Linked DNA regions of Caenorhabditis elegans. The protein of the gene in region 1 purifies or fractionates together with the protein of each later gene. This does not show direct contact. Each region holds a gene or a part of one and is shown on either strand. Other genes may lie near its edges.

Region 1 (6,432 bases):
AAACGGCATTGATCGCCTTGTAGGCAGGCGTACCTTGTAGGCAGGCGTAGTACATACGTCGAGTAGAACATAGTCATGAAATCCCTAAATGATACTATACCATTATTTAGTGTTGGTCCTCTATTCTATGGCTCGCGATGAAAAAGTTTCCTGCTCGATTTGCTCCATCCTATGATCCGATTTCCATGTGGACTCGTGAGGAAGTGAAAGAAATTCAAAAGCTTCCAAAAGAACAACAAGAAATAATGAAACAACAAATGCTTCCATTGAATAAAAGATTATTCCTACATCACAAATGGGATTTGATTCTCAATCAGAAATTGGAAGCAGGACTGGATGTCTCTGCTGGTTTACTGGAAATTCTGCGAACTGAGATAAAGAAGCATCATGATTTGGCTGGAACTCAATTTCAAAAAGAACAACTCCAAGAAACATTTGCGGAATTTGTGAAATCAGTCGCTGAACGACCACCAAGAAATGATTTATTGGGAACCAATGCAAAGAGTGAAGTTGTGACTCTATGTGCAGAAAAAGAGGATGGAACTGCAAGAGTGACCAAATTTATGCTAGTCCCCGGAATCGATGTTTTCAAACCAGAAGAGTACTATGATGATGCTGATGATATTGACAGAAAGAGATTTAATAATGAAATTGATAAGGTATTATATTTTCGTAGCCTGAAGGGTATTTCCTTTGAAGCTAGAGTTTTGAAAAGAAACCCAGTACTTTCAATTTTGAAAAGTCAATCAGAATAATTTTAGGTCATATTTCCATCAAAATGTATTATTGTAAAATTGACGAGTCTCAAATTAAAACTAAACAATACCAAAACGAAAACAAATTTTAGGAAACCTACAAAATTGCAAGAGAAGAAGCAACGTCTCAAAACAACTTTATGAATTCGGCCATCAAATTCAAGTAAACTTACTCTTAAATTAAAACTTTAATACATCTTTTAGGTACTACGGAAAAATCAAAAGATGACTTCTAAATGATGGATTAATTGTGATCTTTATTTGAAACATGAAATGAAGCATCTTGTTAACATAACATAGTATTATTTTGTTGGCAGGCAGAATATTTCGGAATTCCTGAAAAATCTGTTTTTTGTAGACTATTGCGGATAAGAGAATTTTGATCCCTTGTTAAATGTACTTTCCTCCAATCTGAAACTAGCGATATTCTTATACATATAAAACTTTCGTACGCCTTCGTTTAGAATATGGAGCAGTAGTGTTTTCTCTTCCAAAATCAATTGATGAAAAATCGAAATATCATGGAACGTAATGAACAGAAGCGAAATAATTGACAACATCGATATTATCGGAATGATGACTAAGTGTATTTTAAAAGATTTTGATTTTTTGGAGCACTACAAGACTCAAACCTAATCTAAAAATAACCAGAAATACTAGCTTCCAATAGAAGTGGCGTATTGATTCAGCGACATTGAAAAAGTTAAAAATGAAAAAAATCCGCCAATCGCAGGCGCTCAGCCCTTCTACTGGTAGATCAAACAAGGAAGAGACTGATATCACTAGTGATCTTGACCCACGGCGGCAGCGGTCGTATTCTGATTTAACTGCATTCTCTGCGTCTCTCACCGCGCTATATAAGGCGGCGAGAGAGCTCATTCGTGTTTTTCTCTCTCGTTTTTGTTTATTTGTTTATTTGTTTATTCTCGCTCGTTTTTTCTTGAAAAAAGGTATTTAAAAAGATCACCGAAAAAACGTGCGAGGCTTGCGAAATGAGCGTGCGGTGGTTGCGAGTTGGCACCGCCCACTGAAACCTTTTTTTTTTTGTAAATCCTAAAAATCTTCAATTTTGTCAGCAGCCAAGAAGCTTTTGCATTTTCCCTATAATTTTGTCGTTTATTTCACATTTTTGATTAGTTTTTGAACATTTTTAGTCGCTAATATGGTTGAAAAATGAACTTAAGTCTACAGAAAAGCGCGAAAAACTCCGAAATTAGGGTTTTTGTAATTATTTTGGCATAAAATTCGCCATAATTTAATCCTTCAGCGTTGTCTTTCATTTTATACGTATACGCGTTTAAAACTCTTGAAAAGAACATTTTTTCCAGATGCCGGAGGAATATATCATGTCGTCAAAGGCGTGCATCTACGTCTTGGGCGGTGCGGCCAACACGGCCGCCCTGTTTGATTTCGACGGCGTCTACATTCTCGATGGGGGGTTCGCCGAAAAGAACCCGGGATTTGTGGCTCACGTCAGGGACGTCTCTGCCGTTCTGCTCGCCGCTCCGACGCTGGGAAATCTTGGAACCACGTCTGCTCTGTTGGAACAGGTTTGTAGAATTTTTAATGAAAATTTTGATAATCTACTTTTTCAGGGAAAACCGTTGCCGGTGTTCACCAACACGAAGCCGTTCAAGACTGCCAAGCCGGGAAGCAGTGGAGAGATTGCCAAAGCAATTCAAGAAGCGAACTCGAAGCTTCTCTCCGTTGCACCGCCACTGTTCAACCCGAAATATCCGGCACACATCATATACCAGTCTGCTGCAAAAGGAGTTCTCTCCATGTATATTCTGGCTGGAGACGTCAAAGACTCCGATATGATCACAAAGGCGTTGGCAGGAGGAAACGAGGCAGAAGTGGAGAAGGCGGCCGCTGAGAATGGAACCATCGGCGTCCTGCTCTGGAGGCCTGCGATGACGGATCAATCGGCGGTCAGAGTGCTTATTTCGGGGACGAGCTCACTTGCGAGGATCCAACAATCGCTCGACAAGGCAGCGAAATCACTTCCATTCCTCAACGCGCCCACCGTGAAGTCGAAGGATGCGTTGTTGGGTATTCCTGCTCCTGCCGTTCCACGACCTGTTGCCGGGAAACCGTCTACTAGATCTGCATCTACAACCGGCGCCGCAAGAACTCGTCCAGCAGTCCCTGCAGTCAGTGCCCCCAGAGCGTTGACTTCTCGTGCTCCAGCAGGCCCAGCTCGTCCGACGACTACACGAAGTGCAACTCCTGCTACCAGAACTGCCGTTCCACCGAGAGCAACTGCACCACCGAAGGCCGCTCCAGCATCGAAGGCTCCGACTAGAGCTCCAATTCCAGCGAGATCTGCACCAGCGCCACCAAGAGGAGCCCCTGCGAAGGCACCCAAGGCCGAGCCTATCGCTCAGAAGAAAGTCGCTGGCAAAGTTCAAAGAGCCGCTCCATCGAAGCCTGCTTCGGCGGTCTCAGCTCCAAAAGCTACAGCTCCAGCTTCGACATCATCGGCTCCAGCTACAGCTCCAGAAGCTTCTCGAAGGGTAAGTTGATTTCTTTCATTCCGATCGGTAGATCTCTAGTCCTCTGCTTTTCCTTTTTCGCTTAGCAGTGGTGTGTTTCATTTCAGGATCCGAACGACGTCACCATCGTTCTCGACGACTCGCTGTTTCCAGAAGATTTCAACCAAGGATCGGCTCCAATGGATATTGTCGTGATTCCACCAACACCGGAACCACCACGTCTTGAAGAGGCTCGAGCCACGCATCCAAAGGAACCGATAGTTGACGCCGAGGACTTGGCGAAGGTGATAAGAACTTTTGACACAGAAACCGAAAATATATTTCAATTTTTCACTGAATATATCTAGTTTTTGATGCATTTCTATGTCGTTGATGTCTGTGTAATTAGATTTTTGTATTAATATTGTGGTATTGTCATGGTGAATCGGTATATTTCAGGCTCCACATGAAGTCGATGATGTCGCAAATCTGGCTGACGTCGAAGACGAAATTCCGCCACCAGTTGACGCGTTCAAGAAGCCAGAGCCACGTCCAGAGACGAATGTTGCTGGCGGTTCCGGGGAAGACAGGATTTCAGAGCCAGTCGATGCTTTCAAGAAGCCGGATCCAGTCGAGCTGGACGATTTCGATCCACTGAAGCCATCACACCCCGACCCATCTGCACCAGTTGTGCCAAGTGGTGATTTGATCATCGCTACTCCTGATCCAGAGCTCCCGAACATTGTTGCTGCTGTTCCATTCATTCCTCCATCACCAAAGGGACCAAATGATGGTCTTGTGAAGTTGGATGATGAACTGGAGAAGATTGCTCCTGGGTTTGAGGTAAAATATCCCAAAATTGTTATTTTTCAGCATGCAAATGAACTCACTTTTCTATCCAAAAAATGCTTGAAATTTTCAAATTTCACTCTCAATTTTCAAAATTATTTAATTTTCAGGAACCACTGATCCCCCAAGCTCCACGTGACGATGGCACTCTTGCCGAATTCAATGAAGATGTGTCCAAATTAGTTGACATCAGCATGGATACTAACAGCGCTGAAGTTGCAGCGGATCTTGCCAAGGCCGTTGGAGAAGTCACTCAGTTGTCGGCAGAACTTCAGAATCTGGCTCTCGACGAGAAGACGGATGAGTATGTGCGAAAGCTGAGCAATCAGATGATTGAGGACGCCACTCTGCCATTCACCAGTGCACTTGCCAGCAGCATTGTTACCTCGAACGGATCGGAAACGAACGGCCACGGGGAACAAGCACATGCAGCACAAAATGGAGGAATCAAGATTCCGAAGCATGATTTGATGCAGTCGCACTCCAATGTGATTGAGAATGGAGCTGCTGTAAAGTACGAGAAGACTGATCCAGCATTGGATGCTGTACTCAATGCATGTGCACAGGAGAGTGAACAGGTAGTTTAATATGTTTAAAAGTTCAGAAAAACCGTTTTCTGTTAGGATTAACCGATATTTTGAACGTAAATTGAAAAATTGTGATTTCTATGAGGAACAAAAAAAAATGAAAATTTGTACAAAAAGGAACAATTTCCAAAAACTCACATTCTTTAAAATCATTCCTAACTGATCAAGCCTGATCATGGAGGGAATCTGTGTATTTATTCTTGAAAAAGAATTTCAAGAGTAATTACATGTATTTTCACCGAAAACATTAGAAAATATATTTAATTTCAATGTAAAATTTAATTTTCCAGATCGATGCCTCTCATCCAGAAAATCTCCACATGCCAGCTGCTCCAGGATCCGTCGCCTCAGCGAAGCCAGTCAAATTCGCGCGTCCATACTATTTCGACGTGGTCACAGTGCCAAGGAACGAGAAATTGGAGACCTCCGTTGAAGCAGACGGTCTGCAAGAGTTCATCTCAAAGGTGCGCTCGAGAAATGTGATCCTCGCGTCGAAGGAAATCTCCGGAGAGCAGCTGCAGTCGATTCTCAGAGGAAAGCAAACATGGTGTGATCGTGGTAAGCTCATTCTCAAATTTGGCAAGTTTTATAAATTATTTTTCAGCTCATCCATGCAACGTGATCCCAACACATTCCTCTCCGATGCTGCACGATTTCCGCCAGAAGAACGAGGAGCAATTCGCCGCGAATCATCTGCAGTTTTCAATGCCCGTGGAGAAGCAGCGGACGACAGTGAGCTCGGACGCCGGAGTCGTTGAGTATGATTTGGCCAGAGTCGATTTGCTTTAATTGACTGCCAATCAATCTCCCACCATCGCCACCAATCTCCCCCACTATTTTCCTGTGAATTTTTGCACCCCCCCCCGCATAACTTATTTATTATTTTTCCCCCCGAGTAAATTTATTGCAAAGTTTTCATGTTTTATATAGCCCCCATCTTTTGGCCCCCTCCGAATGCTGTCCACCATACCTCAATTATTTATAGTATATTTATTGGCAGTTTTTTGCCAAATTCAATCATTAAATACAGTGTTTTAGCAGTCGTTCATGACATTGCTCCAACCACTTTGAAAATATGAATCAGGGGTGGGCGGCAATTGCAGTTCGACAAATTGGCAATTTGCCGATTTGACGTTTGCCGGAAATGTTTAGAGGGATATTTTATCAGACGGAAACACTTCAAACTGCCTTTTTGGAAATTTTCTCAGATTTTTCTCGATATTTTCATAGAATTAGCTTATTTTTCAAAATAGATATAGTAACATTGATAGGATGCGTACAATTTTGAAAGTTAAATTCTGAATTTACCAAAAAAAAAGTGCCGATTTGCCGGAAATTTCAATTCTGGCAATTTGCCGATTTGTCGATTTGCTGGAAATTATCAATTTCGACAAGTTCGGCATTTTGCCTGTCTGCCGATTTGCCGGAAATTTCAATTCTGGCAATTTGCCGATTTGTCGATTTGCTGGAAATTATCAATTTCGACAAGTTCGGCATTTTGCCTGTCTGCCGATTTGCCAGAAATTTCAATTCCGGCAAGTTGCCGGTTTGCCGATTTGCCGGAAATTTTCAATTACGGCAAATCGGGAAATTTCAATTCCGTCAATTTGCCGATTTGCCGGAAATTTCAATTCTGGCAATTTGCCGATTTGCCGATTTGCTGGAAATTATCAATTTCGACAAGTTCGGCATTTTGCCTGTCTGCCGATTTGCCAGAAATTTCAATTCCGGCAAGTTGCCGGTTTGCCGATTTGCCGGAAATTTTCA
Region 2 (3,501 bases), on another chromosome or scaffold:
TGATCGCCGGGATTGTCAGCTGGTGGTCCACTCTTTCCCACGCAGTGTCACAAAAATAATGGACGCACATGTGTTGTCTGTTATAAGTTTAGATCAGGTGGGAGACAGAGAGAAAATGGGTCAGTTGGGGTGGGAGGTAAGCTATTTTAGATATAGAAGAAATGTTTTTAGGTTATTTGATACCTGAAAACACACGTAGTTGTTTGTAAACAAGAAGTACCCTTGGAATTGAGCCAACTTTTTGAATAGGAGGAATTTTACAGTCATTACGAGTAAGGCTTTCGATAAATTATTTTTGAATTAAACAGATATCTTGACTCGCTTGGCATTTGGCTCCGGTTTCTTGCTCAGGCGCGGCTCAAAAAATATTTTTTGGCACGTTATCCCAGAGTTCAGCTTTTGCCCAAGTTTGGCCAACTTCTGATTCGCGTTAATAATTTCTGGGCCAAACTAGGGCGAGAAACTGGAGCCAAATGACGAGCGCCTCTATTTTTTGCGACACTTGTGCTCTATAATTTCTCAATTTATTGAATCTCAAATATGTTTTGAAACCGCAAAAATATAGTTACTGCTTCTAAGAGCAAAATACAATGGCTTCATTCAGCGGCTTTTCGTAAGCTTCCAGTTTTTACTGCCAAGTCTTTACTGAAAAGTCAGCAAAAAGAATTAAACCATTGTATGTTATGCTCTTTCCCTTCTAACAATCCAACCAACAAACAATCCCGAGTTTTCCCGAGCCACTATAAAAATTTAAAGTTTCTCGGAAACTTTTTATTTTACCCAAACATCTGGAGGATCATTCATCAAAATTACTTGTTTGTCATGATTTTATCTGAATTTTTATGCTCAAGCACATCTGGTGTCAGAGACAAATTAAAGGTTGTATGTTCAAAAATAATACTATATGTTGTAAAGCATTAGAAAAGTAGTGGAAAGTGAAGGGTTTTCAGAATATTTTAAGGGTGTGGGGGATGAACAATGTACATGGTATAGAGCAAGGAAAATTTAAAAGTCAATAATTCCGAAGAGATGATTTCCAACGTCAGATTTATTTGTTGAGTAGAACAACTGATGGAAGTATGTGTTCCAGGTCTCTGGCTTCATTTGTGGAACGTATTGACCTTTCTTGTCCTGAAATAATTCCTTTTAAATTAATCAAAAAAATATTTAAATCCCACCACTGAAAACTTATGGAAAGCTGCATCACACTCGGATTGATCAAATCCATATGTACTCATTCCATCGGTATACTCGGCAAGATCCATGACTCCATCACAGGAAACATCAAAAAGTTTGAACATAAAGTTCTGATAGTCCTTGAACCATTTTGGTTCAGTCTTCGCATCGGTCTTCTTCAAAAGTCCGATCCATTCATCAATCGAGATCAATTGATCCTTATCAGCATCAGCAATGGAGCACAGTCCTTCCCAGAGAGCAGCAAGAGATTTCTTGGCAAAGCCAGTTTGAACTGATTCAGCTCCGTAAATGTCACGGACTTTCTGGAAGGTTAAAAGAAAATAATAGAATTTAGAATTCTAAAAATAATTCTCACCTTGACAACCAAGTAAAAATCTCCCCAATCGACTTGATGAGAAGCATTTCTATCTGAAACATATAATTGAAAGTAAAAAAGAGTGGGAAAACTAACCAAAAAATAGTGAGAAAATGCGTTCCCACTTCTTGACAAGGAACGGATCAACATCGGAATGTTTCTTGATAAGATCTTCAATGGAAACTGCTGCTGTAGGCTTTGCAACAACCATTTCTGAAAGTATAAGATTTGACTGAAAATTATAAAATTATGAACTTGAGAAAGTCTAGAAATCAAGAAAAAATATCTAGAAATGAACATTCCATGGGTTGTGAAGATGCTTTTATCTCACTTTAGAATGTCTGACTCCGCCCCTCTGTGTACGAATTGAAGTGCTCTTTTGTGATGATCATAGCTCCTCCTTGCGGCGACGCCCGCACACAGCACGAGATATTACACGGAATACTTATGTGATTCATAGGAAACAAGGAAATCGAAAAAATAATAGGATTTTGAGGAGGTATTTTTAGATGAATGCTTATGATGTTATGATGAACCCAAGAAATTCTGAATAGACATATGTCAGAACGGGGTAGGAGCTCCAGTGTCGCTTTTGAAATAAAAAATCAAGTGGTATACTTCTCGTATATACCCTTCTGAACTAATAAAATAATTTATCTTTTGAAAAAGTTTGAAAAAGAAAAATGCCCAAAACTTGAATTTTAATGTTTTGTATTTTGAGCATATCGTTCAAACGTCGTGATCTGAAAGTAGAAAGATCTAAATATTCGTGACACAGTTTGGTTTGAAGGTCTTAGTGGTAATTTTTTATTACAGAAGCAACAAAAAGTTGACATATTTTCAGAATTTCCAAAAAAACGTTTAAAATTTCAATTTCTTCGATAGAGTTCTAAAAATTTTTTGGAACGGATTTTGTAATATCCGCTGATAACCGTTCAAGAACAATTTGAATTTTGAAATAATTTAATCAACTAGTATCCAGTGCTCTTTCTCACTGCTCCACCCATTTTTCAACCCATTTCCTTTACTCAATTTCGCCCGTTTTCCTTTTGCTCAAATGTGCCCACCAAATCATCTTTCTTCGTCTTCTTTTCTCTTATTCGGAAGGAGAAGAGGTGAAAGTAGAATACGTTTTTTTGTTGAAAAGAGAAGAGCACTGCCACTTTTCTCTTATTTCCATCCTTCTACTACCTCGTTTTACTTTCCATTTAAAAACCCGTTTAAAGTTCCAAAATTTCAATTATCTTGCTTCTGTTTGGAACACGACAAACTTTAGTTTTGTTACAGATATGTTCCGAATATCAGTTATATTTATTTGGATATTTTTACAATTGGGATACACAATAGACTATAAAGTATCAGTTTTAATTGTTTCTGAGCCGAATCAAGAAACTTTCAAAGAATTGAAAGTTTCCGTTACGGTAAGTTTTGAAATTTTTACTTTAAAAACTTACAAACTCGGCATTATAGAAGAAGCTCCAAACTTTTAAATTAGCATATTCATATTCACAAAATATCATATTTTCAACTTTTCTTCTTAATTTCTTTCAGGCGGCATTCGTGGAAGTTTTTGGAAGCACATCATATCACTTGGGGAATGACACTATTTCCGCAGCTTTTGTAGATGCAAAAAGGTTTTCGAAATTATTATTTGTTGAGCTTTTCCCCCGAGAAAGACATTTCTTATATTCAGTGGAGATAATCGTCTGGAATTGACTCAGGATATTGTGTGCAGCCAGATGCTCAATCACTCATTGGCTTCTGTTATATTTTCTCCATTACTGACATCATCTTCAAGATTTATTGATTTGGTTACATCATCAGCATATACACTTTCATTTTACAAACTTCCAGTTGTTGGAGTAATGGTTAGAGATGCAGAGTTTAGTAAAAAGGTGATCGTTAAATAAATTGACTAATTTTGTTTTAAAAGTTCAATTTAGAATATC

What was found.
Region 2: the proteins of maph-1.2 (region 1) and cex-1 fractionate together in Caenorhabditis elegans (co-fractionation; one large-scale study listed by BioGRID). This does not show direct contact.

What each region holds. Positions count from the first base shown.
Region 1 is NC_003279.8:10,417,510-10,423,941, reverse strand, and holds maph-1.2 (Microtubule-associated protein futsch), read left to right. Parts: upstream 1-2,083; coding exon 2,084-2,305; intron 2,306-2,350; coding exon 2,351-3,271; intron 3,272-3,357; coding exon 3,358-3,534; intron 3,535-3,688; coding exon 3,689-4,072; intron 4,073-4,188; coding exon 4,189-4,656; intron 4,657-4,955; coding exon 4,956-5,223; intron 5,224-5,269; coding exon 5,270-5,454; 3' UTR 5,455-5,708; downstream 5,709-6,432. Other genes in the region: paml-2 (EGF-like domain-containing protein), read left to right, coding at 111-659, 848-918, 960-984.
Region 2 is NC_003280.10:5,445,945-5,449,445, reverse strand, and holds cex-1 (Calexcitin-1), read right to left. Parts: upstream 1,766-3,501; 5' UTR 1,764-1,765; coding exon 1,649-1,763; intron 1,606-1,648; coding exon 1,553-1,605; intron 1,500-1,552; coding exon 1,179-1,499; intron 1,132-1,178; coding exon 1,006-1,131; 3' UTR 812-1,005; downstream 1-811. Other genes in the region: nmr-1 (LITAF domain-containing protein), read left to right, coding at 2,842-2,973, 3,104-3,186, 3,246-3,447, 3,496-3,501.